7 linked regions of the Callithrix jacchus genome follow. The protein of the gene in region 5 interacts with the protein of the main gene of each other region in a pairwise test. Links are inferred from orthologs where the notes say so. Each region holds a gene or a part of one and is shown on either strand. Other genes may lie near its edges. The genes, in order: HSCB, COQ8A, BPIFA2, MIEF1, AGTRAP, SENP2 and MYG1.

The links.
Region 1: the proteins of AGTRAP (region 5) and HSCB interact in binary tests that used the Homo sapiens proteins (3 or more experiments, as listed by UniProt). The two-hybrid records come from large-scale screens. The link is inferred for Callithrix jacchus from reciprocal best matches to the Homo sapiens genes AGTRAP and HSCB.
Region 2: the proteins of AGTRAP (region 5) and COQ8A interact in binary tests that used the Homo sapiens proteins (3 or more experiments, as listed by UniProt). The two-hybrid records come from large-scale screens. The link is inferred for Callithrix jacchus from reciprocal best matches to the Homo sapiens genes AGTRAP and COQ8A.
Region 3: the proteins of AGTRAP (region 5) and BPIFA2 interact in binary tests that used the Homo sapiens proteins (3 or more experiments, as listed by UniProt). The two-hybrid records come from large-scale screens. The link is inferred for Callithrix jacchus from reciprocal best matches to the Homo sapiens genes AGTRAP and BPIFA2.
Region 4: the proteins of AGTRAP (region 5) and MIEF1 interact in binary tests that used the Homo sapiens proteins (3 or more experiments, as listed by UniProt). The two-hybrid records come from large-scale screens. The link is inferred for Callithrix jacchus from reciprocal best matches to the Homo sapiens genes AGTRAP and MIEF1.
Region 6: the proteins of AGTRAP (region 5) and SENP2 interact in binary tests that used the Homo sapiens proteins (3 or more experiments, as listed by UniProt). The two-hybrid records come from large-scale screens. The link is inferred for Callithrix jacchus from reciprocal best matches to the Homo sapiens genes AGTRAP and SENP2.
Region 7: the proteins of AGTRAP (region 5) and MYG1 interact in binary tests that used the Homo sapiens proteins (3 or more experiments, as listed by UniProt). The two-hybrid records come from large-scale screens. The link is inferred for Callithrix jacchus from reciprocal best matches to the Homo sapiens genes AGTRAP and MYG1.

The regions. Positions count from the first base shown.
Region 1 is NC_133502.1:199,430,530-199,434,529, reverse strand, and holds the start of HSCB (iron-sulfur cluster co-chaperone protein HscB), read right to left. Parts: upstream 2,801-4,000; 5' UTR 2,773-2,800; coding exon 2,537-2,772; intron 2,367-2,536; exon of another isoform or gene 2,290-2,366; intron 304-2,289; coding exon 207-303; intron 1-206.
Region 2 is NC_133520.1:22,353,897-22,357,991, forward strand, and holds the start of COQ8A (atypical kinase COQ8A, mitochondrial), read right to left. Parts: upstream 2,801-4,095; 5' UTR 2,660-2,800; intron 1,939-2,659; exon of another isoform or gene 1,367-1,938; intron 213-1,366; exon of another isoform or gene 104-212; intron 1-103. UniProt on the Homo sapiens protein: Atypical kinase involved in the biosynthesis of coenzyme Q, also named ubiquinone, an essential lipid-soluble electron transporter for aerobic cellular respiration.
Region 3 is NC_133506.1:6,119,884-6,123,977, forward strand, and holds the start of BPIFA2 (BPI fold-containing family A member 2), read right to left. Parts: upstream 2,801-4,094; coding exon 2,644-2,800; intron 1-2,643. UniProt on the Homo sapiens protein: Has strong antibacterial activity against P.aeruginosa.
Region 4 is NC_133502.1:190,253,263-190,257,214, forward strand, and holds the start of MIEF1 (mitochondrial dynamics protein MIEF1), read left to right. Parts: upstream 1-1,152; 5' UTR 1,153-1,228; exon of another isoform or gene 1,229-1,785; intron 1,786-3,256; 5' UTR 3,257-3,284; coding exon of another isoform or gene 3,285-3,497; 5' UTR 3,498-3,588; intron 3,589-3,952. Other genes in the region: MIURF (mitochondrial ribosome and complex I assembly factor AltMIEF1), read left to right, coding at 3,285-3,497. UniProt on the Homo sapiens protein: Mitochondrial outer membrane protein which regulates mitochondrial fission/fusion dynamics.
Region 5 is NC_133508.1:49,636,402-49,638,938, reverse strand, and holds the end of AGTRAP (type-1 angiotensin II receptor-associated protein), read right to left. Parts: intron 2,474-2,537; coding exon 2,358-2,473; 3' UTR 501-2,357; downstream 1-500. UniProt on the Homo sapiens protein: Appears to be a negative regulator of type-1 angiotensin II receptor-mediated signaling by regulating receptor internalization as well as mechanism of receptor desensitization such as phosphorylation.
Region 6 is NC_133516.1:14,535,832-14,539,921, reverse strand, and holds the start of SENP2 (sentrin-specific protease 2), read right to left. Parts: upstream 2,801-4,090; 5' UTR 2,698-2,800; coding exon 2,597-2,697; intron 1-2,596. UniProt on the Homo sapiens protein: Protease that catalyzes two essential functions in the SUMO pathway.
Region 7 is NC_133510.1:66,252,564-66,256,550, forward strand, and holds the start of MYG1 (MYG1 exonuclease), read right to left. Parts: upstream 2,801-3,987; 5' UTR 2,765-2,800; coding exon 2,549-2,764; coding exon of another isoform or gene 2,466-2,548; intron 2,352-2,465; coding exon 2,239-2,351; intron 1-2,238. Other genes in the region: PFDN5 (prefoldin subunit 5), read right to left, coding at 3,155-3,231. UniProt on the Homo sapiens protein: 3'-5' RNA exonuclease which cleaves in situ on specific transcripts in both nucleus and mitochondrion. Involved in regulating spatially segregated organellar RNA processing, acts as a coordinator of nucleo-mitochondrial crosstalk.

The sequences.
Region 1 (4,000 bases), on a different chromosome or scaffold from region 5:
CAGCCTATAGGTTTTAAGTTATCTGGGAAGTCAGACAAAAGCTGTGAGTGAATGAGAGCTCTGGGTCTGGCAGGCTGGGGTCAGACTGCCATGGGCAGATACAGCTGATTTTCCAGCTCCGTCCCTGATAAACACATAGTCACAAGACCACTTCCCCCTGGTATGCACACATATTTGGGGATTATTGGGGTTGGCCAATAAGCTACCTGAGACCTCTGGCTGAAGAAATCTGGGTGGACAAGACGCTGCAGTTGCTGGTACCTGTGCTGGAGCTTCACAGTATCAACTCTGAAGGAACAGTTGCTGGAAGGAAATTGAGAGATTAAATTTATGTGACAAATATTTAAAGATTTGTTTACCAGGCCGGGAGCCGTGGCTCACGCCTATTATCCCAGCACTTTGGGAGGCCGAGACAGGTGGGTCATGAAGTCAAGAGATCGAGACCATCCTGGTCAACATGGTGAAACCCTGTCTCTACTAAAAATACAAAAATTAGCTGGGCATGGTGGTGCGCGCCTGTAATTCCAACTACTCGGGAGGCTAAGGCAGGAGAATTGCTTGAACCCAGGAGACAGAGGTTGCGGTGAGCCGAGATCGTGCCATTGCACTCCAGTCTGGGTAACAACAGCGAAACTGTCTTAAAAAAAAAAAAAAGTAGTAGGTGCTATGAAGGGATACAGAACAGAGTCAAAGAGGGTAGCAGATGTAGTGAACAAAGACATGGCATTACGCTGAAATTGGAATGATGATCAGTAATCAAAGATCAGAACAAAGAGTCATCCAGGTAGAATTCCAAGAGCAAGGACCTTGAGGTGAGAGCAAGATGGGGATGCTGAGGAACTTAGTGTTATTGCAGCTGCTAATACATGTTCAGTGACTGGTGGGGGCAGATTCCATAGTTAAGGGAAAGGGACATTCCTAAATTACACAAAGATTCTTTGCTTGGCCAAACTTTAGTCAGATTTCCAACCTTCTCCTAGGCCCTGCTGTGTGCTTTCTTGTATAATCCAGTTTTGGCAAAGAACCTTGCTAACAGTTTAGCTACAATCCTCAATCCTTATATTTTATCACCCTAGATCTCTGATTAGATTCTTCATCCCCTACCATCCTCCAGGAAGTGTCTGAGCACCCTGGCCTGTCTTTAGCAAGAGTCCTGTTAGGTTGGTTTAGTCAGAATCCCACTTACTCTGCTCCTTGGCTACAAATTCCCTCCTGGGCATGCTGTTTTTGGAGTTGAGACCAATCTCTCTCCCCCACTGCAAGACCCTATTGCAGTGGTCCCTCTACAAATGGTCTTGAAAAAAGGCTTCCTTTGGTGCTCGAATAGTGCTACTGAATAATTTTTATTTATTTTTAATTTTTTTTATTAAGATGGGGTTTCACCTTGATGGCCAGGCTGGTCTTGAACTCCTGACCTCAGGTGATCCACCCACCGCGGCCTCCCAAAGTGGTAGGATTACAGGCGTGAGCCGCCGCCCCCGGCCTTTTTTTTTTTTTTTTTTTAAATACCACCCTATCTCCCTATCTTTCCACAGTTCAGGTCCCTTTATCCCTGTCTCCCAGTTTACTTTAATCTAACCCCTTTCACTTTCTACTCCCAAAATCTGTCCTATTTCCTTACCAGTTCAGCTGTGTCCACACTGCCCCATCTCTCCAAGATCCTCACCCTCAGGGGAAAAAACCCCATGTATTGGACCCTCTCCCTCCAATTCTCACTTTTCCCTTAGGCCTCGCCCACAATATTAAGCTTTTCATGCTTTACTCCCCAATCTTGGACCACACTACTGCAGTCCTTTTTTTCTTTTTTTGAGATGGAGTCTCACTCTGTTGCCAGGGTGGAGCGCAGTAGCGCCATCTCAGCTCGCTCCAGTCTTTGCCTCCCGGGTTCAAACCATTCTCCTGCCTCAGCCTCGCAAGTAGCTGGGATTACAGGAGCGCACTACCACACCCAGCTACTTTTTTCTATTTTTAGTAGAGACCGGGTTTCACCATATTGACCAGGATGATCTTGAACTCCTGATCTCAGGTGATCCGCCCGTCTTAGCCTCCCAAAGTGCTGGGATTACAGGCGCGAGCTACCGCGCCCGGCCTTCTGCAGTCCTTTCTTAAAAACATCAACCCAACTTTAAACCTTCCAGACACTATCATTCAAGTCATCCAGTCTCCCAGGCCCTGGCCCTCAAGCGCCCTTTCCTCAAACTCCGCCCCTCGACTTCTCCTAACCTTTCTCGTCGGTACCGCCCCTCAAATCTCCCTCCACTGTAGCCTCGGCCCCCCATTTTCTCTAACTTCAATGCCCGCCGCTCCAGTCCAGTTCCTCTCCCTTCTCCACACCTCAACGCTGCATCCCTCAGTCCCCGCCTCTCAATTTCCTCCTGAGAAATCCAGACACCTCTCTAACGCCTGCTCTCCAGACCTCCGCCCCCCTATTAGTTCCGCCTTCTCTTCCGCCAGCCAGATCCGCCCTTCCCTCTCGCAGGCCAGCCCCCGACGTCTCTCTCGCTCCGGCAGGTTTTTCCGAAACCGTCGCTCGTACCAGTCCATGAGGCTGAAGTAGTCTCGAGTGGGGTCAGGTGCCTGCAGCGCTCGGCACTGTGGGCAGAAGAACCCGTTCTCCCGCCCCGGGCCCCCTGGGCTGCCGCAATTCCAACAGAGGGGCGAATTGCCTCCCGCCTGCGACGCAGGATCGCAGCTTAGCGGTCTCCTTCCGGGAACCCCGGGCGGCCAAAACCCCCACACCCGGAGCAAAGCCCCAGCTCTCCGCCGCCACATCTTGCCGGCGGCCTATCTAGCCGCGGTCACTAGTGGGGAAAAGCAGAGAGAGCGGCCAACCAGACTAATGCTGCTGATTGGTCGGGGAGTCGAGGGGGCGGGAACAACCGAGGGGAATCTGGGTTCTGAGTTCCGCTCTGCCTTCTAAACTACAACTCCCAGGAAGCATTGAGGCGACGCCTGACGGCTACATCTGCTGCTTCTCATTGGTCCGGCGGCAGGGGAGGGCGTTTTGATTGGCTGAGGGTGGAGTTTGTATCTGCAGGTTTAGCGCCACTCAGCTGGCTGAGGCTGCGGAGAGTGTGCGGCTCCAGGTGGGCTCACGCGGTGAGTCATATGGGGACCTTCTGTTGGGTGTTAGGTGGTTCGAATCCCATCCTCAGCGTTTTGTGCGAGGGGAGTCTCCTGAGCTTCGCTTTGTTTGTATTTTTGAGCTGAAGGGGGAGTGTGTGGGCGACTCTCTTCCTTTTTAGTAGATCATCCTCGAGGTGAAATTCACTTCCCGTGTTACTTACAAGCTGAAACAGGCCTGAACATACAGGATAAGAAGGAACAGAGTTGTGTTCTTCAATATCAGAACGAAGTTACTTTGTAAAAAGTTCTACAGATGTTTGTAATCATTTCCGTTCTTTAGGTTCAATATCTAAAATACTTACAGAGAGACCAGTCTTAGCTACTGGGCGCTGCAGGAACTGGAAACGCACTGAGGTGTGTAGGAGGATGTTCTGCAAGTGTCCCTAAGTATATGGGATGGGGTGGCCAGGAGTGGGCAGGAGGACATTAGTCCTCCTTCGGACTCAGGTTTTCTAGGTGAAAAAAAGATGGTGTTTCACTTGTAAGTCCTCTGGATTTTTTTTTTAAATTACTTATTTGTGATATAAAACATACATATATGATTTACCATTTGTACCATTTTAAAGTATACAATTCAGTGATGATAAACACATATTCTTTTCTTTTTTTTTTCTTTTTTTTTTTTAATTTGAGACAGAGTTTTGCTCTTGTTGCCCAGGCTGGAGTGCAAGGGCGCAATCTTGGCTCACCGTAACCAGTTTCTCCTGGGTTCAAGCGATTCTCCCGCCTCAGCCTCCCTAGTAGCTGGGATTACAAGCATTTGCCACCACGCCCAGCTAATTTTGTATTTTTAGTAGAGACAGGGTTTCTCCACGTTGGTCAGGCTGATCTTAAACTCCCGACCTCAGGTGACCCTCCTGCCTCGGCCTCCCAA
Region 2 (4,095 bases), on a different chromosome or scaffold from region 5:
GCAGTAGGCACAACACAACCCTTTGCCTAAACCTCTCACCTACTCACGGGCAGGTCCCAGAGGGGCCACTGGCAGCATAGGAAAACTCTTTTTAGAGTCTTACCTCAGTGGTTCTCAACCAAGGAAGATGTTGCCCTCCAGGGGACATGTGGCAGTGTCTGGAAACATTTTCATGGTTGCAACGGCTAGAAGGGGCGGGGAGTGGTGCTAGTCTAAAACACAGAAGCCAGGGATACTGCTGCACATCCTACAATGCATAGGCCAGGCCCCCCCACGACAGAATTATGGGTCCAAAACGTCATTAGTCCACAGGCTGAAAAACTTTGTCTTAGATAACACACTGGCTCTGAGGGAGGCGCCCAGATCACCCAGTTTACTTTTCCTTTGAATCGCTCAACATTAGGCCCCAAATCATGACGATTCTGCATAGTCCGCACTATTTGCAAGGCTGAGCAAAACACTCAAAGTCATCGCCTGAGTTGTTTGCTTGTTTGGGTTTTTTAACATTGAATCTTGCTCTGTTGCCCCGGGAGGAGTGCATTGGCGCATCTTGGCTCATTGCAACCTCCACCTCCCAGGTTCAAGCGATTCTCCCATCTCAGCCTCTGGAGTAGCTGGGATTATAGGCGCCCACCACCACATCCGGCTAATTTTTGTATTTTTTTAGTAGAGATGGGGTTTTGCCATTTTGGCCAGGCTAGTCTCCAACTCTTGACCTAAGATGATCCACCCACCTCGGCCTCCCAAAGTGCAGGGATTGCAGGCGTGAGCCACAGCGCCCAGCACCTGAGTCTTAAAAATGCTGCTCCTGTAGCTCCCCTTTTGTCTCTCCTCAGGTGAAAGGCTTTCCTCTGAAAGAAGAGTCTCCGAAGAGCCCTCCTGCCAGGGAAACCCACCCATCCACAGCGTGACAACTGGCAGGCTGGCATCAATGCATGTTCAAATTCTTTGGCAATCAGGTAGACCTGGCATTACGAGCTACCCAGTCATGTCACGTAGATAGATCCAAGGCCCAAGTGAACGTGCACAAGTTTTTCAACAGGCTGCAGGCCCAACTCAGGCTGGAAGACTGTACACAAGCCTCTTACCCTCCAGAAAGCTGACATCTTGCACCCAGATGGGGAGTCCCAATACCCAAACCTGCCCCTGCAACATTCCCCATCGCCCAAGGTGGGTTTGGCAGAGGGGCTGTTACCTCTGTGCAATGGGTAGGAATGAGCCTTGGAAAGGCTGGAGTTTAGGGGAGTAAGCCCAAACCACTCACAAGACTCCCAGCGTTTGGAGAAGTAGAAAAAGCCAAAGAAAAGCAAAAGGAAAAAAGGATCAAAAAGGACCCCCCTGTCCCAAGTCCACCCAAAATTCCCACCTGTGAAGCCCAACAGCTGGCTCCAGTCAAGGTAGTCAAATTCGGACCCAAACCTGCAGCCAGGGGCAGTTAGAGCCGCAAGACCCACACACAGTGCAAGAGGGTCTGGGAGTTAGAACAACATTAGAAAGCGAGGCAGGAAAGCTGTACTGGCGACCAAAGGGCACGGGCAGCGGGTGATTAGCAGCGGGAAGGCGGTCGGGCAGGCAGCGGGCGTGTTCCAGGGACCCAAGGTTCTGCACGCGGCCCTCGTCTTCTCACCGAAGCAGGATCGAGGGGCTGAGGTGGACACAGGGACGGGAGACAGCTGCAGAGGACCCACCCTGCACCTGCGGGGCGCCCACTGCGTCCGACCTGAAGCTCGCGGCCCGCGAAACTCGCCAGGGGAAGCCGTGCTGTCACATGAAGAGAATGCAAGAAGGGCTCAGGTGGGTGTTAAGCCTGGCTCTGGCCGCAGCCAGACGGCGCTCCTGCACGCGGCGGGCCGGCGGGTGGCAGCCTTACCCGGCTGCAGGAAGCTGGGTTCCGCGGTCACCTTCCAGCCGCCTTTGCGCGACTGCAGCCACGCTGACGCCCACCACGCGCTCCGGATCTATTTACCAACTGGCTGGCGCCCGGGGAGGCCCAGCGCCCAAGCCCCGCCCCGCAGGGCGCTCCCATTGGCGGCGCCACGGTCCGCCTGCTGAACGCCGCTCGGCACGTGGGAGCGTGCTCGGCCCGTGCTCCCGGTCTGTAGCCAATCGCCATTGAGGGCGGAGCAAGAGAAGCCAGTGGGAAGCTGTCTTAGCCCACGGGTCTCTTCCCTTTCTCCTCTTCCCTACCTCCCAGCTACCTTTCCCGCTAGTTAGCAAATCCTGGCAGGAGGCCTGGCTTTGGAGTTGGTGGCCTGCGCGCATGCGCCCTAAGAACGGGTGCCTTTTATACTGTGAAGCGGCGTGCGCGGCCGAAAAGGCCACGCGTGTGCCTGTTGCCTCCGTACTGGTGCTTGCTGGACCTCCGCGTGGGCCTGGGAGGGCAGGCTGTGGGCCGAGCAGACGCTTCTGTGGGCGTGGAGGGTGCCGCTGCTTTAAGGACCGGGCGAGGGCTGCTCTTTGCTCCACTCTGTAGCAAGAGCCCCTTTCCCAGTGTCCACAAAAAGCACTCTGAGGAGTGGAAGCGCGGCGAGCAAGGCCGATCGCACTTCCGCCTCCAGCGTCCCGGCCCTTCGGGTTAATGATGCTTGTTTTGTGTGGCGCCATCCTCAAAACAGGAAGCCTCTGCCAGCTGCGCCCCAAGGATAGACAGGGCGCTCACCTGAGTCGCTGTCCGCCTGCCGGTCTCGTCGGCCTGCAGGTGCCCGCAGTCGCTGACCCCCGGGGTTTTCGGGGGCGCGCAGCCAACAAGGGACGGAGCTCAGGTCCAGCCGTCGGCGGCCCCGGAGCAGCCCTGGGAGGCACCGTCACCAGCAGCACGCAGATTTGCCCCGTCACTCCCTCCCTAACGAGAAAAGGAACGTATGAGCCAAGGTCGGCCCGACAGTTTCCACTCAAGTGACCCCTAAACACTGGTCTGCAGCTATGTTAGTTGTTCTTGTGGAAAAGTGAGAAAAATTTAGTAAGTTTTTCATAAAATGAAATATTCAAGCCAAAGGATTGTTCCTTATTCTGAGCCTCCCCCCTCCCCCGCCAACTTTTTTTTTTTTTTTTTTTTTTTGGTATTGTGAAACGAAAATTCACTATGCCAAAAGGAAAAAAATTAAGCTGAAAGCTGAGTCATGCAAGCAATGTTCCTAAGCAGGTAGCTACAGATTAAAGTATCTCCATTTTATGTTCACCTTATCTTGTGTAAAGTGCCGATTTACTGAGCACTGGACAAATACATAATTGGCTGTTTCCCTACCTGCTCATTTTATCACAACACGTGGATTCAGTAATGTGACCACACCTTCCATCTTTCCCCTCCATACTGCTCTTCCCCTTTAAATACTGAAGCCCTCAAAATCATCTTTGGAGAAAGACACAGACCTGTCTCCTGGGCGCGAGTCCTTGACCTTCACAACATAAATTTCTAAACTGATACAGATACTTTTTGTTTCACAGTATTGACATTTAACTTTATTGAAAGTCGTTTGTTTTATATTATCACTTGGAAAAATTTAAAGTTAGCTGTTCTAGGTTGATGCCTAAAGTTAGGGCTGCTTTATTATCATGATATCCAGAAGCGAACCTAACTTCACAGTTCCCCATTGACCACTTGGGGCTTGGCTTCCCAGAGGTCTGCCTGAGTCCCCAAGAACAGAATTGCAAGTGTGTGTGATGTGGGTGAACACAGCTCTGTGTCAGGCTCTATTCTTCCTAGGGGTATGGGAGGGCTTTCTTCCAAGGAGAATGGAGACTGTGCCTTGTAGCGGCTGTGGCTGGGCACTGGTCAGCTGGTGGGTGCTCCTCTCTGCACAGACATTGACATGCCCTCCCCCATCTTCACCACACTAAATACAAAGTCCATTTTAAAGGAGAATTAAGGAGTTATTTTGACTCAAGTTTCAAGTAACTGCCGCAGAACAGTTCACAACTTGTCTTGATTAGGTCAGCTGGCTCCCTTTTCCCACTCAGGAGAAACAGACCAAGCCTCCAGGCCTTTCAAGGGTGGCCGTTGCTTCCTTCCTGGTAACTGTTGCCTTATACTGCCTGCTTCCTCCAAGCATTCCCAGCCTAGTAACCCACATGACAGCCCATGGAATAACAGAGTTC
Region 3 (4,094 bases), on a different chromosome or scaffold from region 5:
ACTGCAGTAAACATATGTGTACATGTGTCTTCATAGCAGAATGGTTTATATTCCTTTGGATACATACCCAGTAAGGAGATTGCTGGGTCAAATGGCATTTCTGGTTCTAGATCCCTGAGGAATCGCCACACTGTGTTCCACAGTGGTTGAACTAATTTACACTCCCACCAACAGTGTAAAAGCGTTCCTATTTCCCCACAGCCTTGCCAGCTCTGTTGTTTCCTGACTTTTTAATAATTGCCATTCTTACGGGTATGAGATGGTATCTCATTGTGGTTTTGATTTGCATTTCTCTAATGATCAGTAATGATGAGTTTTTTTCATATGTTTGTTGGCTGCATAAGTGTCTTTTTTTTGAGAAGTGTCTGTTCATATTGTTTGCCCACTTTTTGTTGGGGTTGTTTGTTTTCTTCTTGTAAATTTAAGTTCCTTGTAGATTCTGAATATTAGACTTTTGTCAGATGGGTAGATTGCAAACATTTTCTCCCATCCTGTAGGTTGCCTGTTCACTCTAATGCTAGTTTCTTTGGTTGTGCAGAAGCTTTGCAGTTTAATTAGATCCCATTTGTCAATTTTCCAAGCTTACGGAGAGGAAGAATCAATATTGTGAACGTTGCAATTCTACCTAAAGTAATTTTTACTTTCAATGCTATTCCCATCAAACGACCATCGACTTTCTTCACAGAATTAGAAAAAACTACTTCAAATTTCATATGGAACCAAAAAAGAGAACGTATAGCAAGACAATCTTAAGCAAAAAAAACAAAGCTGGAGGCATCATGCTACCTAACATCAAACTATATTACAAGGCTACAGTAACCAAAACAGCATGATACTGGTACCAAAACAGACATATAGGCCAATGGAACAAAACAGAGACTTCAGAAGTAACACCACACATCTACAACCATCTGATCTTCAACAGACCTGACAGAAACAGCAATGGGGAAAGGATTCCCTATTTACTAAATGGTTCTGGGAAAACTGGCTAGCCATATGCAGAAAACTGAAACTGGACCCCTTCCTTACACCTTATACAAAAATTAACCCAAGATGGTTTAAAAACTTAAATGTAAAACCCAAAACCATAAAAATCCTAGAAGAAAACCTAGGCAATACCATTCAGGACACAGGCATGAGCAAAGACTTCATGACACCAAAAGCAATTGCAAAAAAAGGAAGCAGTAATTCTTATAGGAGGAGGAGGACAACATGTCTTATGATAGGTCTCTGGAGAACAGGGGGATGAGAATAAATGTTGTGACCTGGTGTGGTGGCTCATGCCTATACTCCCAGCACTTCAGGAGACCAAGACAGGAGGATGGCTTGAGGCCAGGAGTTCGAGACCAGCCTGGGCAAAATGATGAGACTCCATCTCTACAAAAAATGTAAAACTTAGCCAGGTGTGGTGGTATGCACCTATAGTCCCAGCTACTGGGGAGGCTGAGGTGGGAGGATCAGTTGAGCCCAGGAGGTTGAGGCTCCCAGAGTACTCTAGCTTGGGTGACAGAGTGAGACCTTGTTTCAAAAAAGAATAAATGTCATGGTCGATATAGGATGATGCCCATGAAAAGAATTAAGCACACATGGGGAGAAAATAATTCAACTGAGAAACAACAGGGCAATTACTAACTTAAGGAAAAACCAAAAACTATATAAGGAAAGAGATGTAATCATAATGTTGTAACTTGGCTCTGTCATGGACAGTATCTACCTAGCTGCAATGATTGGGAGAATGACGCTTTAAATAAAATTGGTGATATAACTACATCTGATTGTACAGCTCACTAGGGTGACCTTGGTTTAGACATTTCTGACTCTGGGTCTCAGGTGTCCCAGCTATAAAATTAGAGTGAGTCCTTTCTGCATCTTTGAAAGTTACCTAAGTCCTTGACAAGGTTTGAAAGGCACCATGTGCAGAAGTTACCTCCTCCTACCAAAACTGCTTTTGATATGCTGCTAATGTTTCCACAAAACTAAAAGAAAGCCAAGTTATTTTAATGTTAGCATAAAAAGGAGATATAATTAAATATAAAGGTAGGTAGCCTTACAGATACTGAGGTTAGGTCGGGATAATTTCCCTAATTTTCACTGAATTAGCACGAGTGAATAAAAGAACCCCCAAAGAAAAATATGCTAAGAATACACAAAATACTCAAGTTAAAATATGTAAGTACACAGTAAATATATGAAAAAGGAGAGGGTTCTTTTATAATTAGAGGAATGCAAAGTGAAATAAGTTATCACTTTTCATCTGTGAGACTGGCAGGGCATGTAAAATTGTCCATACCCAGTGCTGGAAAGGGATTGGAAAAAAAGGCACTCTTGTAGACTGTCAGAGAAAGTGTTAACATAGGAGATTATTTGTCAACAGCATAGTTTTTGAACTTGTGAAATCCCACTTATAGGAATTTACCTTATGTGTATATTGGCAAACGTTTATCAGGATATAATATGTAGAAGGATATTCACGTGGCATTGCTTGTTCCTAGAAAGATAAACGAATCAGCCAGGAATTGAATAGCCACTTTTCTCAGTAAACCACCCATAAAGAGTAGCCCCTGGTGGCAGCCTCTGGTAATGCAGGCATAGTGTTTAGGAGGCTAATTTAGGTGACACTGATCATCACACTTGTTGATTTACCTTTAAGAGTATTGTCAATTGTCTTAAGTCCTTCGTCAAGAACAGGTTTCTGCTCATCCACGACATTGCTCAGGTCATCACCAAGATTGCCAAGAAGAGACGCTGAGGTCCCAGTGAGCAGGCTGCACAGGAGAACAAGTTTCCAAAGCTGAAGCATCTTTTGTCTTGACACCTGGACAGTCATGAGAAGAACAGGAGTGAGAATTGCCCAGGGAGAAATGGAATCTTCAATGAGTTCCAATCACTCCTAACATTTAACATTCCTTTAAGACAGATGTGGTTATTTCCTGTTTTACGAATGGGCAGCCAAGGTCAGAATGTTACAGCAACTTGCCCAGAGACACATGGCCAGTGAGCAGAGGAGCTGGGATTTGAAAAGTCAGACTTGACTCCAAGCCCATACTCTTGATACAAAGTTCCTTTTCACACGCTGTCTTCTCTGCCTAAAATATTTTTCTTCTTCATTTTTCCACGTTGGTCAATTCCTACATCATGCCCTCTGTGAAGCCTACTCTAGGCCCCTACCCAGATTCTAGGTTGGGGGAGTCTCACCTTGCTGTCTTCATTATCCTGATCAAGGTCCTGGGTAACACTTCCCTGATGATTTGTCTGCCTTTCCTACCAGGCTGACAAAGGGGAAGGATTTAGGGGAAGGACTGTAACTTATTTCACTGTCAAATCCTCAGGCCCCAGTAAAAGCCTGCACCTAGTACAGTACAGTAAACAAATATTGAACAAACCAATGGCAACCACCTCATGACTCTGCACTGCTCATCAGTTTGACACTTATTTTAATACAATCTATAGATATCTAAATTTGCTCTGATTTGCTATTTATCTTGACATCTGGACAGTCATGGGAGGAATAGTAGTGAGAATTGCCCAGAGGGAAATGGAATCTTCAGTGAGTACTCATCACTAATTTGTTGTTTAGAGCAAATTTAGAGCTATATTGATTATCTCTGCCGTACTCAAAATATTAGCTAACCCAAGCAACCCGCCCCTCTGCCTCTAGCCCCCAAAGCCTTCTGAAAACCACCATGTGGGACACCACTGGGGGAAGCATGGCACTCACGGGTTTAGAGGAGGATGCTCACGAGATCCTTTCCCCGCTGCGCAGTCTGCCGGGACTCTGCTGAACATTGGTGGCCCTTATATGGTGGTGATGGGATGGAAGACTGCCCACAGAAACAAGCCTTGGTTCCGGGACCATCCAAGGATACTCCAAGGAAACTAACCCCTCTCCAGGATGAGCAGAGAGAGATTTCCAACCCAAAGGTCAACCAGGATGCTTGAATTTAAATGGATGGTTATGGAGAGGGCTTTCTGCCAAGACTAAGAGCAGGTCCTCATGGAGCCTGCAGCTGCCAAGCCGGTGGTCCTTGTGGGTGGGGACTGGGGAGAAGGCTGAGAATGAATGAACTGGAGAATGTCCTGGCAGGAGGACCCAT
Region 4 (3,952 bases), on a different chromosome or scaffold from region 5:
TGGCCTCTTTGCCAGCTCCTGCTCACCTGGCTTCGGAAGCACTGGCCTTCTCCCTGCTGCTCCTAGATCACACTGAGCTAGCTTAAGGGCTTATCTGGGGACAGGCCTGAAAAGCTCTTCCCTGCAAAGTTCTTCTGGTTTTTGTCCTTTTATCAGATAGCCAGATAGCCTGTAATTGCCCACCTCTCCTGGTAGATATTACTTTTGAATCCTCACCATAGCCCCAAGGCTGGGAGAAGTTAGGAAACGCGGCAGAGGGCAGCTGTCCCTAAGTGGTGGAACTGGAACTAGGACCCAGCGGTGGCCCTGGACTCCAAAGCCCCAGGCCCTGGCTTGGTTGAGCCAGGCACTGAGGGAGGCACTTGGGGGTGGGGCGTTCCATAGAGACACAGCCTCTGTACTCAAAACTAATGAGAGACAGAGAAGCAAATGGATGAATCACAGTGCCTGGCAAATGTTAGGTGCCAATAAATATGTTTTGTTGTTGAACAGATTAAGAGCCTTAAGGTGTGTAGACATTTCTGTGGGGCCTAAAGAAGGAACAAGAGTGCGAGGGAGGCAAGGAATGGGCTAGGAGAGATTTCTCAGTGGAGGGGGACATTTGAAGTAGACCTTGAAGGAAGGGTAGGAGTTTGTTAGAAGCCACTAGGCCTGGAGAGTGGAAACAGCATGGAGGGATGGAAAGAAGGCGATCTGAGAAAATGGGTTTGGAAGAGCTCTGAATATTAGTGTTATAATTCCCTCAGGTACCCCAGGGCCCCAGCTAGAGATCAACAGATGGTGCAGGAGGCTGGCCTGGCATCCCGGACAGGCTAAGGGGCCGTCAGCAGGTGAGGGCCCCTTAGCCTGTCCTATCCTCTGACTCTCTCTGCCAGCTCGGGACCTTCCCGGTACCTACAGCCGGACCCGGACCCAGGGGTCCTCTGGGGGCGGGGCACGAGTGGCCTCTGCAGGCCCGTCCCTTGTTGACGTCACACAAGGATGACACGGAGGCGGGGCTCAGGATTGGGAGGAACCATGCATAGGGGGCGGGGCCCGAGAGAGAGCGTGGAGGAGAAGACCGGAAGTCCCTCAGCCCTCGCCCGCCCTCGTGCTCCCTTCAGCCCCTTCGCAGCTCCGTACGCAAGGTCGTGTCCCGGAAGTTAAGGGGCCATGTTGATGGGTGACCCCGAGAGAGGTACCGGGCCAGAGGCGAGTCCTGCGGAGTGGTAGCGCGTGCGGCCTGCGGGTGAGTGAGAGAACGAGTGAGGACCGGCGGCGGGTGAGCGGCTGGGAGTTCGCAGCGCCTCCCCTCAGGCTGCTGCCGGCGCCCCGCATGCGGCCCAGGCCCGGGATACCGGCCTGCCGCCGGGGTCTTGCCTCATTCAGCCCTGGGCTTTCCCCTGCGAGGCCTCTCGGTAGCCCCGCCCCGCTCCAGCCTCAGAGTCCTCCCGGGTCCCCAGGCCGGTCTACCCCGGCCCGGCCCCCAGGGTCGGGGAAATGCGGACTGGCTGGAGCTCAGCCGCCCACTTGCTCAGCGACCTTGTAGTTACAGCCCTCGTCGTGACAGTCGCCTTTTACCTCATCAGACACTTGTCCTGTTGATTTCCTGCATCGGGAGGCCCTTAGGGCCGCGGGAGCTCTTATGAGGAAAAATGGACAGAGATGGTGACTTGCTGAAGCTTGCGCAGGAAGTTAGCAAGGCCGGAGGCCAAGGGCTAGCTGACTTTGGGCCCAAAGTCCAATCTTTTTTTCCAGCCAAATACCTCCGCCACTTGGTCTCATTTCTTTGTTTCTGAAACGAAGGTGATCATTTTTTCCACATAGGGATGCTGTGAATGCAATTCCCTCATTCGTTAAATATAATTTTGAGCCCTTGTATGTGCCAAGAGCTGTGCTGGGAAAGTTCGTGGAGCACCCAGAACTGGTGTACACATGGTCCGGCTCCAGCAAAGAGTAACTCATTCCACAGGCAGGCAGAGTCTAGAAGAGTGCAGCCCTCCCCTTGAGAGTTGTGGGCCCTCGGGCAAGTTGTGGGCCCTCTGAGAGATTGTTTCCTTCACCTAAAATGGGGTAATGATAACCCTAGGGTAGCTGACAGAATGAGTTGTTATATGAGACGCTTAGAACATTGCACAGTGGGCCAGGTTGGGTGGCTCAAGCCTGTAATCCCAACACTTTGGGAGGCAGAGGTGGGTGGATCACGAGGTCAAGAGATCCAGACCATCCTGGCCAATATGGTGAAACCTGGCTCTACTAAAAATAGGAAAATTAGCTGGGTGTGGTGGCAGAGGCCTGTTGTCTCAGCTACTAGGGAGATGGCTTGAACCCGGGAGGTGGAGGTTGCAATGAGCTGAGATCAAACCAGTGCACTCCAGACTTGGCGACAGAGACTCCGTCTCAAAAAAAAAAAAAAAGCATTGCACATGTATATAGTGCAATAATATGATGCAATAAGCATTAACGGTTCCTAAGAACCCTGACTACCTCCTAGATTGATAGTTTAAATGATAGTGGGCAACAAAGCACTTTACAAATAGTCTGGTGTAAGGGTTTATTGTTACTGAAGGAAGACAGTGGTAGTTTATACTTAAATGTAATATTTATTGAGCATTTACAAACCTGGCCAGGTGGTACTAATAATAGCTGCTATTGATAGTGTTTAGTGTGTGCCAAGTGCTGTTCTAAACATGTTCACATACATTAAACTCATCTAGTGCTTATGCCAACCACATGGACAAAATACGATTTTTATCCTCACTTTACAGATGAGGAACTGAGACAGGCACAGAGAGGTTAGGAGGCTTGCCCAAGATAATGCAGCTCGTAAGTGCTGGTGCTGGGATTCAAGCATGACTGAGTGCTTGTCTTCAAGCACTCTGAGACCACTCCCTCTGGTGAAGTTCTATTACTATTCTTTACATGCACAGTTCTTAAAATAACCCTAGGTTGTGGGTACTATTGCCATAATATCCTAATCTCCATTTTATAAGTGAGGAAGCTGGTGGTCATCAGGGCTTAAGTCCTTTGCACAAAGTCATATGGCAAGTAAGTGTCAGGGCCAGGATTTGAGCCCTGGTGAACCACAACCTGTATGTTCCCAGAATGGGCATTCAGAGTGGGGGTCTCTAGTCCTACCTAGCCTTGCCATTAAGTCATAGGGTGACCTAGGGGGTCTCTGGAACTTGGATTAAAAACCACTCACTACATAGTCTGTACAGGTCCTTTTGTTATTAATCCTGATACTAGGCTTGTCTGTCTTTCCTTCTGTTTATAGTGTGACACCCAGCCCCTGCCAGTCCCCCATGGCCCCGTGGAGCCGAGAGGCGGTGCTGAGTCTCTATCGGGCTCTGTTGCGCCAGGGCCGACAGCTTCGCTACACTGATCGAGACTTCTACTTTGCCTCCATCCGCCGTGAATTCCGAAAAAATCAGAAGCTAGAGGACCCTGAGGCCCGGGAGAGGCAGCTGGAGAAGGGCCTGGTCTTTCTTCACGGCAAATTGGGAAGGATAATTTAGGCTCCTCCAAAGGAAAGAGGACAAAGGTGCCTTCTGTAAACACTCCTGGTCTCTCCCATCCCCACCTCACAGATGCATTAAGAAGCTTCAGGTATGTAGACCCTCGTTCCTGTAGATTTCATTATTTTTTGTCACAAGGGACTGAGGAAAGGACCAAAGTCGTTCTTTTAGTCACTAGAAATGAGTGGAGAGCCGGGTGTGGTGGCTCATGCCTGTAATCCCAGCACTTTGGGAGGCCGAGGCGGGTGGATCACGACGGTCAAGAGATCGAGACCATCCTGGCCAACGTGGTGAAATCCTGTCTCTACTAAAAATACAAAAAATTAGCTGGGTGTGGTGGCGCGTGCCTGTAGTCCCAGCTACTTGGGAGGTTGAGGCGGGAGAATCACTTGAACCAGAGAGGCAGAGGTTGCAGTGAACTGAGATTGTACTACTGCACTCCAGTCTGGCAACAG
Region 5 (2,537 bases):
ATGGCTCTCGGGGTCCCAACTGTCTGCATGGTCAGGGGTCATGGTGCCTGCAAATCTAAGTCAGCCTCTCCCACTCCCTGAGTGGCTCCTGGTCAATGACTGGAAAACCCAGCTCCCTTGCTTTCATCACAGGCTCTGCTTTTGGGGCACCCCCAAGACAGGAGCTTTCCTCTGTCCTCTCCCCCAAAGAGCCAGTTCAACCTGGGGATCTGGGACGATGAGAAACCGAGGCCTCTAGATACACTCTCCCCTCTGGGTGGTCGAGGCTCCATCATCTGCTCCCCATTGCCTGGGCCAAGCCCCTGCCCTGGCTTCTCATTCCCTTCGGGAATCCGACATGTTCACGATGCAGGCACTTAACAAGACTTCCTGGGGCCAGGAAGCCGTGTACACAAGAGAAATGGACTTGGGTCTTAGTCCCACTCCCCTCAGGCCACACTCCCCCCTCCACCCAGGATGGCTTCAGTCATAAACTTGACAGGTGTCCTTCTAGTCCCTGCTTTTCTATTTTACTGCACATACACCCAGGAACAACACACACCAAACTGTGAGGTCTGAAAATTCATCCCAATGCCATTGTGCAATCTGCTTTGTTCATATTTTTGGGGACCATCGTTGGTAGGAATAGGTCTGGTTTATCTGCTGTAACTGCTGCACCGGGTTCCATAGGATAAACAGACCGTGGCTTACTGCACTGTCCTCCATATGATGAATGGACCGTGGCTTACTGGTCTGTGCTCCCTATAGTGAATGGACTGTGGCTTACAGTGGACCTTGGCTTACTGGTCCATATTCCCTACAGTAAATGGACCGTGGCTTACTGGTCCACATTCCCTATAATGAATGGACTGTGGCTTACTGGTCTGTGCTCCCTGTAATGAATGGACTGTGGGTTACTGGTCTGTCTCCTGACAGCGTGGCTGTTTCCAATTTCTCACAACTGCTGCTGCTCGGCAGCCCCCGGAGCACAGCCCCTTCCCCACAGCAGTCTTCCTTCCTGGCCCAGAGGCCCATGTCCCCGTCTTTTGGGGCTCTTGCCCCTGTCTGTCATCCTCCAGGTGGGAAGACTCCTAGGTCGAGAGAGCAGGCTCCAAAGGTCACCACTGCAGCCCCCAGCCCACTCAGCACCAGGCAGGTACTGAGTCTCTTGATTGACAGATGGACACAAGTGAATGATGGGGGCTGTGCACTAGGCCTTGACCCTGTGCCAGGGACAAGCCAGGATGGCCTGGGAAAGCCCTGGCACTTGGCGCCCAGGGGGCAGAAGAGCAAGCTGTGGAGAGCCAGACCTGTCAGTGGGGAAGGCCTGGGCCCTGGGGAGCTTCTGGATGAGTCAGCCCAAGTCAGCTGTGACCAGACACAGGGGCTGCCAGGAAGAGTTCCCCCTCTGCTGCCTAACCCAGCATCATCACTGGTGTGAGGAGCAAGTCCACTAACAACTTCGCCATCACTTAGGGAGCCCTCCTCACACCAGACACTTTACACCTGGAGCAGGCACCCACCCTTTCTAGAAGACACTGAAGGCACGCAACTAGTAAGTGGCAGAGCAGGATTCAAACCAGTGCTTGGGTCATCTGGTTCAGAGAAATGGATGCCACGCACCACACCCAGCAGTGTCTCTCTGCTGTGGCCTCTGCTAGGCCAGAGTCAGGCAGAAGCCCAGCTCAGCCAACAAACATGCCCATTTCCTCCTGCCACAACAGAATGGGGTGGCCCAGCGCAGGCTCCACCTGGGAATTGGCAGGAGAAATCTTCCCAGGAACAAGGCCAGGCCCCACCCCAGCCAGGAGACTGAAAGTGGCTCAAAACACAGCCCATCTACAGAACTCCCCAAACTTTAATGCTGTGGCTCCAAAAAGGGAGGCTGGAGGCTGTGGTGGGTCAGTGTTGCTGATGCCTCTGGCCTCCAGCCCTGTATCGCTAGGCACCACATGACCAGGCAGTGAGAAGCACAGGACCTCACTCCCATGCCAGACTGCTCCTGGGCTGAGCAGACCTGAAGCTCTAGGGCTTCCCCCAAAGCCCAACAAACAGACATCACCAGGACTTAAAGGCCTGAGCCTGCCACAGTCATGCAGGACTCAGCTGGGGGCCTGTGTGGTGCCTTGATGGAGTAGGAGGTGAAGAAAGATTTTCATTCCAACCCGGGAACCAGCGGGTGCCCTGAAGGGAGGGAGGCCTCAGGGAGTTTGAGACAGGAGTGTGTGTACTGGGTGGCCCATGGGGGCTCCTGGTCTCTCAAGGCACTTGGTTCAGGTAACCCGTGGGCTGGAGACACATTCCATCTTAGGTCCCAGAGATAGAGGTCAGGAGCATCCCTAGAACCTGGGGTGGGGCTGGAGGCAGCGTGGCTGGCTTCAGTACCCTCGGGCATCTTGACCCCTGCCCTCTGGGACTGCAAAGGGATCTGCGGGTGCCTCTGGTGAATCAATCGTCTGGTAGGCACTACGGTCCTGAGAAGATCCAAGGAAACCTGGGTGGCAGGGGACATGATGGGAAAGAAAAGTGAATGGGGAGACCTCAAGACATTCTGCTGA
Region 6 (4,090 bases), on a different chromosome or scaffold from region 5:
TTTTTTTTTTTTTTGAGACGGAGTTTCGCTGTTGTTACCCAGACTGGAGTACAATGGCACAATCTCGGCTCTCCGAAACCTCTGCCTTCTGGGTTCAAGCAATTCCCCTGCCTCAGCCTCCTGAGTAGCTGGGACTATAGGCGTGCACCACCATGCCCAGCTAATTTTTGCTTTAGTAGAGACGGGGTTTCACCTTGTTGACCAGGATGGTCTCGATCTCTTGACCGTGTGATCCACCCGCCTCGGCCTCTCAAAGCGCTGGGATTATAGCCGTGAGCCACCGCGCCCAGCCTAGAAAGCCATCTTTTACTTTAGGTGACAGTATTAACATGAACAGCCTTAAAAGATATTTTTTTTTAATTTTTGTTTTTTCTTTTGTGTGTGTAAGGGAGTTAAAAAAAAAAAAAAAAAAACTGTTCTACAAGGCCAGGCACAGTGGCTCACGCCTGTAATCCCAGCACTTTGGGAGGCCTAGGCAGGTGGATCACCTGAGATCGGAAGTTCAAGACCAGCCTGGCCAATGTAGTGAAACACGCCCCCCCCATGCCACCCCACCCCCATCTGTACTAAAAATACCAAAAATTAGCCAGGCATAGTGGTGGGCACCTGTAATCCCAGCTACTCGGGAAGCTGAAACAGGAGAATTGCTTGAACCTGGGAGGCAGAGGCTGCAGTGAGCCTAGATCACGCCATTGCACTCCATCCTAGGCAACAAGAATGAAACTCCGTCTCAAAAAACAAACAAACAACAACAAAAAAAACCTGTTCTACAACTTAAAAGAGAGAAATCTGAATCAGAAAAAGGTGTTTAATAACTTTTATCATGCAAACTACATTGCATTATGGTGGTAATAAAGAACTTCGGAATTGAGGAAAGTTTCAGGATCCAGATGTCAAGAATGTTAAAGGCTCACAGCATATTACTCATCGTCTCTCTGAACACCTATCATCTATTATATTCACACACATACACACACACACACAAAATGAGAAGAATGAGATCCCAGGATTCCACTCAGCTCATACCTTTATACATTCCAACAAGCCTCCTGGTTTCATTTTGACTGAAAATTGGTTTACACTGAAAATTGGATTAAGGATGTGAACACACTTAACATGTAGTAAAAATCAAGGTTTTGATCTCCAAACCATGTTCCCCAGACTAGAAGGGACTCACATCAAAAAGAGGACAAGGGAAAGGGAATTAACTTTCTGTTATTTGATAAATATGTACCTAGTGCTTATCATGCACCAGAGTCTGCAAAAGACCCCGGGGTAGAATAAACAAACACTACCCTTATATACATTGAGCATCAGTTTAAGCACTTTACAACAAGTTCTCAAATGAACCTTACATCAACACCACAGAAAGATAGGAGAGAAAAATAAGGCAATGTATTCCAGAGATGCAGTTTAAGCAACAACCAATTTCATTAATAACCTGCATTCTCAGACTAACGTATTAGACATCTTGTCCTCGCAAGCTTCCACAAATCACCACTTCTTTCACTTTTCTTGATATTGAGGCTTAATTTTTAAAAAATGAAATTAACACTTGATCACTGAACTTGGGGAGGGGGCAGAATTTGTATGTTATTTTCTAGATTAATTTCTAGGCAAGGAGGTCAGTCGATTCGATAAAATGGGACGCTCCAAAGAGCAGATGCTAAATAAGAACAGCTTTTGGGGCGGGGCACGGCGGCTCATGCCTGCAGTCCCAGCACTTTGAGAGGCTGGGGTGGACAAATCACTTTAGGTCAGGAGTTCAAGACCAGCCTGGGCAAGGTGGTGAAACCCATCTCTACCAAAAATACAAAAATTAGCCAGGCGTGGTGGCACACGCCTGTAATCCCAGCTACTCAGGAGGCTGAGGCAGGAGAATCATTTGAACCTAGGAGGCGGGGGTTGCAGTGAGCCGAGATCGCGCCACTGCACGCCAGCCTGGCGACAGAGCAAGACTCCGTCTCAACCAAAAAAAAAAAAAAAGAAAAGAAAAAGAAAACTGCTTTGAGTTTCCCCCAAATTTTAACTTAATTTAAGAGGACAGACTAGTGACTGTTTTAAAGTAATAAGGCACGTAGCCCTTTTTTCTCATTCACTAATTCTAAAACACAAAACCCTTCTGGCCCCAAACACAGACTGTTTGACAGCTGTTTCAGAACAAAACAGCTGCTGTTTCTCGCTTCAAGGACAGTGGTTGCAGTCAAAACGGCTTTGGGCAATGTATGACTCTCACTTCCTTTAAATGCACTTAATGACCGCAGATGACACTTGGGAGGCTGCTTTGTGAGCAGTGAGCCACAACAAAGGCAGTATTCCTTCAATGTTGGTGTTCAGCCTAGCGCGGCAAAGCCCCATTAGTTATCGGCAACCAGCGTGGCCTCTGACAAGAACGTCAACGACCCTGCCATCATCTGCCGCTCCGAAGACGACCAGGAGCTGCCTCCCCACGGCGTGGCGGGGGCGGCTACGTCACTCGGACCCCGGTGACCCGCCTCAGGTGAGCCTGGCTGAATCAAAGCATCTCAGCCGCCGAGGAGGCCGCTGTGGGGGAGGGGGGAGGGCCAGGCCGCTGCTCAGCCCCCTCTGGTCTCACCTGTTTGAGCGCCGCCTCTTCAGGAGGGCCCGGGCAGGGGGCACCGACTTGTCGCAGAAACGGAAAATGGTGCCGAGAATCCTAACCAGCCATCTGTACATACCAGGCCCGAGCAGCAGCGGCGGCCGACACACCCCGAGACGCAAACCCCAGAGCTGTCGCCGCCGCTGCCGCCTTCGCCGTCTCAGCCACCACAGCCGGAGTTCGGTCGCTGATTTGTGACGCGATTTAAGGGCCCACAGATAGAGCGTCCCCAGGGCTACCCGAGGCCCCCGCCCGCCACCGCTCCTGACGTTACCTCCTCCCGCCCAACCGGAAAACTTCATTCTCAATCTGCGCACGCGCAACCTGGCAGCGCCCCCTATTTCCGAGCCCAGCAACAAGAATAAGTGTGGGACGGCCCCGGCCCAATCGCTGACGAGATCGGAAGGGCTGTGGGCAGAGTTTTCTCTTCGGCGGAGCCAATTCCGAGCCGGCCCGTGGGACAAGGCCCACAGGCCACACGTGAGGCTGCTCCACCGAGGAGAAGGCGTTCCGGGGTTCCAGAGGACATTTGGTGCTCAAGTGTTTGCACACGTAAAGGTGGATCAGGTTAATTAACACATGTTTACCGTTTTAGGAGCCATTTATTTTTTTTATTTTTTAAAAAAATTTTTTTTGAGACGGAGTTTCGCTCTTGTTACCCAGGCTGGAGTTCAATGGCGCGATCTCCGCGCACCGCAACCTCCGCCTCCTGGGTTCAGGCAATTCTCCTGCCTCAGCCTCCTGAGTAGCTGGGATTACAGGCACGCGCCACCGTGCCCAGCTAATTTGTTGTATTTTTAGTAGAGACGGGGTTTCACCATGTTGACCAGGATGGTCTCGATCTGTTGACCTCGTGATCCACCCACCTCGGCCTCCCAAAGTGCTAGGACTACAGGCTTGAGCCACCGCGCCCGGCCAAGAGCCGTTTATTTTGTACTTACCTTTTGCCTCGTACTTTACACGCATTGTCACCTTAATGTCGCCCAGCAACCGCATATGACAGAGAGTTTTATGCCAACTTTATAAGTCAAGGAAATTGGGGCATAGAGCGATTAAGTTATTTGCCTAAGATCACAAAACTAACTAGAGACGTAGCTGGAACTTGAACCCGGGGGCTGAGTACAAGCCCTTAAGGTCAGTCTACTTGGAGACGTGTACATAGATAATTACAAATTACAATACAGCATAAGTGGTTACTGTGATAAAGGTATGTGCAGAGTGCAGTGGGAGCCAGAGAAAGGAAAAGCACACACTGAAGGAGAGAAGGAAAGGGCAGATGTCAAGAAAGGCTTCACAGAAATTTAAGGGTGAAACCTGCCGGCCATTAATGTCTCCTACCCTGGGCTGGTAAGGAATGAGTCTCATTACCCTCCCTCTACAATCCCAAAGTCGTACTTCTAGTTAATTGCCTACTATAGGTCGGGAGAGGTGGCTCCTGCCTTAATCCCAGCACTTTGGGAGGCCGAGGTG
Region 7 (3,987 bases), on a different chromosome or scaffold from region 5:
GAATCGCTTGAACCTGGGAAGTGGAGGTTGAAGTGAGCTGAGATTGCACCACGGCACTCCAGCCTGGGCAACAAGAGTGAAACTTCATCTCAAAAAAACTAAAACTAACTAACTGAGGCAAGGCATGGTGGCTCACGCCTGTAATCCTAACACTTTGGGAGGCTGAGGCGGGTGGATCACCTGAGGTCAGGAGTTTGAGACCAGCCTGGCCAACATAGTGAAACCCTGTCTCTAATACAAAAATTAGCCAGGCATGACGGTGGGCAGCTGTAGTCCCAACTACTCGGGAGGCAGAGGTAGGAGAATTACTTGAACCCTGGGAGGCAGAGGTTGCAGTGAGCTGAGATTGCACCACTGTACTCCAGCTTGGGTGACAGATGAGACTCTGTCTTAAAAATAATAAAACAAAAAACTGAGTAAATACAAAAGAATATATAAAATATTCACAGGTATGACACAAATGATAGTTAACCCCCCCATAAAAGTTCAGAAAGAAGCAAAACTAAGCATACTGTTCATGCAAATAGACATTTGCTAAACTATACAGAAGGACAAGCGTATGAAGAACACAAATTAGGACACTGCTCACTTCTGGGGGCCGGTGTGGGACAGGATGGAGAGAAGCACACAGGTATAGATGCAAAGGTACTGGCTATGTTCTAGTTTCTTAGGCAGGGAGACTTTCATTTTATGTTCGATATTTTAGAAACGTTATATTCTTTGTTTCAAATGTATAATTTTTAAGTGTATATAAACAAAACAATTTGATAAAAGGAGGTGGTCAATAATGCCAAGTGCTAAAGAGATCAATTGAGACCTTTTGTGCCAGCTCCCTGGTTTGGTGCTGAGGTCACTGGTGCCCTTCTGTTGAGCAGTTCCAGTGGAGACTGGGAGTGGGCTCAAGGGGAATGAACTGGAAAGGAAGAGGTGAAGCCATGGTCAGCTGATTTTTGAAGGGCAGCTGAGGAGTGAGTGTGAGAGCTTAGGCTGTAAATATTGGGAGGGTTTCCTCCTGACATTGTTTATAATAATATGTATGCTATAAAAAAAAAAAAAAAAAAGAGAGACTCAAAACATCATAAATCCCTCTCTCCAAGATAATTACTTTTCATGGTATGGTATAATTGAGGGAGGGTTTTGTTTTTATATCTTTATTTCTCTTAAAGATGGAAGATACTTGAGAAGGGTTTTAGGCTGTAGGGAAGGCGAGGCAAAGACACTGGTGGAACTGTGACATGAAATCCCAAAGGATAGGCTGGCAGTGGCTCACGCCTATAATCCTAACACTTTGGGAGGCCAAGGCCGTGAATCACAAGGCCAGGAGTTTGAGACCAGCCTGGCCAATATGGTGAAACTCCATCTCTACTAAAAATACAAAAATTACGTGGCACGTGCCTGTAGTCCCAGCTACTCAGGAGGCTGAGGCAGGAGAATCGCTTGAACCTCGGAGGTGGAGATTGCAGTTAACTGAGATCACACCACTGCACTCCAGTCTGGGCAACAAAGCAAGACTCTGTCTCAAAAAAAAAAATCCCAGAGGACAAAGTAATAGACTGGAAACAGGGCAGAGGATTAATCTCCGATAGAAGGGAACAAACTTCCCTGAATTGGTAGGAGGGAGCTGAGGATAGTTTGGGGTGGGAGGAAATGCTTAATTTCTTTTTTTTTTGTGTGTGTGTGTGATGGCATCTACATCATAAATCTAAAGAAGACCTGGTAATTTCTTTTAAGAAGAGGCAGGGACATTGAGTTTGATGCTGTAGAGGCTTGAGGGGGAAGAAAAGGATTGGAATGGACTACCCTTGAGCAAGGATTTCCCTTTGGAAGGGTGTAAATAAAGTAGAAAACTTCACACATTTGAACTGTCATCAACTGCCACAATCATGTGGGCCCAGCAGTTAGGTGCAGCAGCAAGGGCACCAGAATGGACTAATAAAAACAGATGGCTTTATCTAGCTGGGACGAAGTCGCTGGTGGGGAAAAAAACCCCCAAAACCTTGGCTAAGGAAGGAGATGAGATAAGGAAGGGGCTCGAGGGACTTCTTGGAACCAAGGAAGGTCCCAGGCCAGGGAGATGGGTGAAGAGCAGACAGCCGGAAAGAAGGATGGTATATCCTAGCGGGAGTTGACTTCAAAGATGAGGCAGTTCTTTTCCCTGACACGGACCAAGGATGGCTCAATTGGAGCAGAGGAAAGTTGAGATCAAGGAAGTTAAATAAATGATATCTGGGAACCTACCTCTGGTGATGGTCATATCGGTGTCTCTCAGGGTCGTACTCGCCCCCCACGTCCACCACGATGTCACAGGAAGCGAGTTTTTCGGGATCCCGGGTCCGCACAATCTCTGCATCCTGTGAGGTACATAATGGGTGAAGGGGCTGCCAGGGGTTGCCGGGTAGGGGATTAATGCTGGACTTCAGGGATGCAGGGCAGGTAGGAAGGGTGCTTGGGCTGCTGGACGCTACCGGAGAGACCCTGATAGCGGAACGCCGTCCACCCTGGAGGCAATGCATGCACGCAGTCTCAGGGTCACTTTTGCGGACCATACCCGGTACTCTGGCAGCAGGCGAAGCAGTGCGCATGCCAGTGCCTCGTCGCAGTGGAAGGTGCCATTGTGCGTCCCAATTCGGGGCGGTGCCATGAGTTTGCTGCAGGGTCGCTTCGAGGGCGGGACGGACTCTGGGCCGAACTTGTGCCGGCTATAGAAGGGTGGCGGCGGCAGCAGCAGCAGCGTATAGAGGCCGCGTAGGAAGCGGTGGCCCATCAGATCCTCCCCGCAGGGAGGCGGGAGCGCCGACCCGGAAAAGGAAGTACCGGTGCACCTCCACTTCCGCCTAGCGACCGTTCCCTTGGCAACCAGCTCTGCAGCGTGAGCAGCACAGTCCCAGCATAGGATTTCCTCCAGCTGGTCAAAGGGCCCTGCGGTGGAGCCTCCAAGAAGAGAACCGCATCACCCCTGTGCATCAGGCTCTGGGGCGAGGCCCACACTCTCGGCCACCCCCGCAATCTCATCACCAATCCCTTGCTTAATCCAAGAAAAGACCAACATTCTACCCAGCTGGCACATTTATTGGCATTAAACACAAGACCCTTCCCTTTCCAGCACCAGGAAGCCATGCCCAAAGGGTGTCCCTCCCCATTTCTGTAAAAACTCTCAGGCCTTAGCAGTAGCCTGAGCTGCCCCCAGGGCTGTGAGCTGCTGAATCTTCTGGCTCATCATTTCCATGACAGCTGTAGAAAAAAAGATGAGTCAGATCTTGGTGACAAGCAAAAAGGAGAATCTAGAGTTAAGAAGTGACAGGCAAGTTTAAGGACAGGAGAACAACTAACTGCAGTTTATTAATAGAACTTTTTTTTTTTTTTTTTTGAGATGGAATCTCACTGTTGTCACCCAGGCTGGAGTGCAGTGGCATGATCTTGGCTCACTGCAACCTCTGCCTCCCAGGTTCAAGCAATTCTCCTGCCTCATCCTCCCAAACACCTGGGATTACAGGCATGTACCACCACGCCCAGCTAATTTTTGATTTTTAGTAGAGACCAAGTTTCACCATGGTGGCCAAACTGGTCTTGAACTCCTGACCTCAGGTGATCCACCCGCACTGGCCTCCCAAAGTACTGGGATTACAGGCATAGGCCACCGCACCCGGCATTAATAAAACTCAGTGATCCACTGTGAGGTCACTAACACAAATTTAGGGTCTATGGTGAGAACAAGACTCCGTCTTGAAAAAAAAGATGCTAACCGCAGATATAAAAACAAACACTAAATGAGTCACACATAATCAGAAGACTATAATGTGGAAAGATTTTTACCTTTCACACATAATCAGAAGACTATAATGTGGAAAGATTTTTACCTTTAGAACACTGGTTCTGAATTCTGATTTTAACAGAGGGGAGCTTTTTTGGGGGGAGACAGAGTCTCACTTCGTTGCCAGGCTGGAGTGCAATGGGGTGATCTCGGCTCACTGCAATCTACACCTTCCT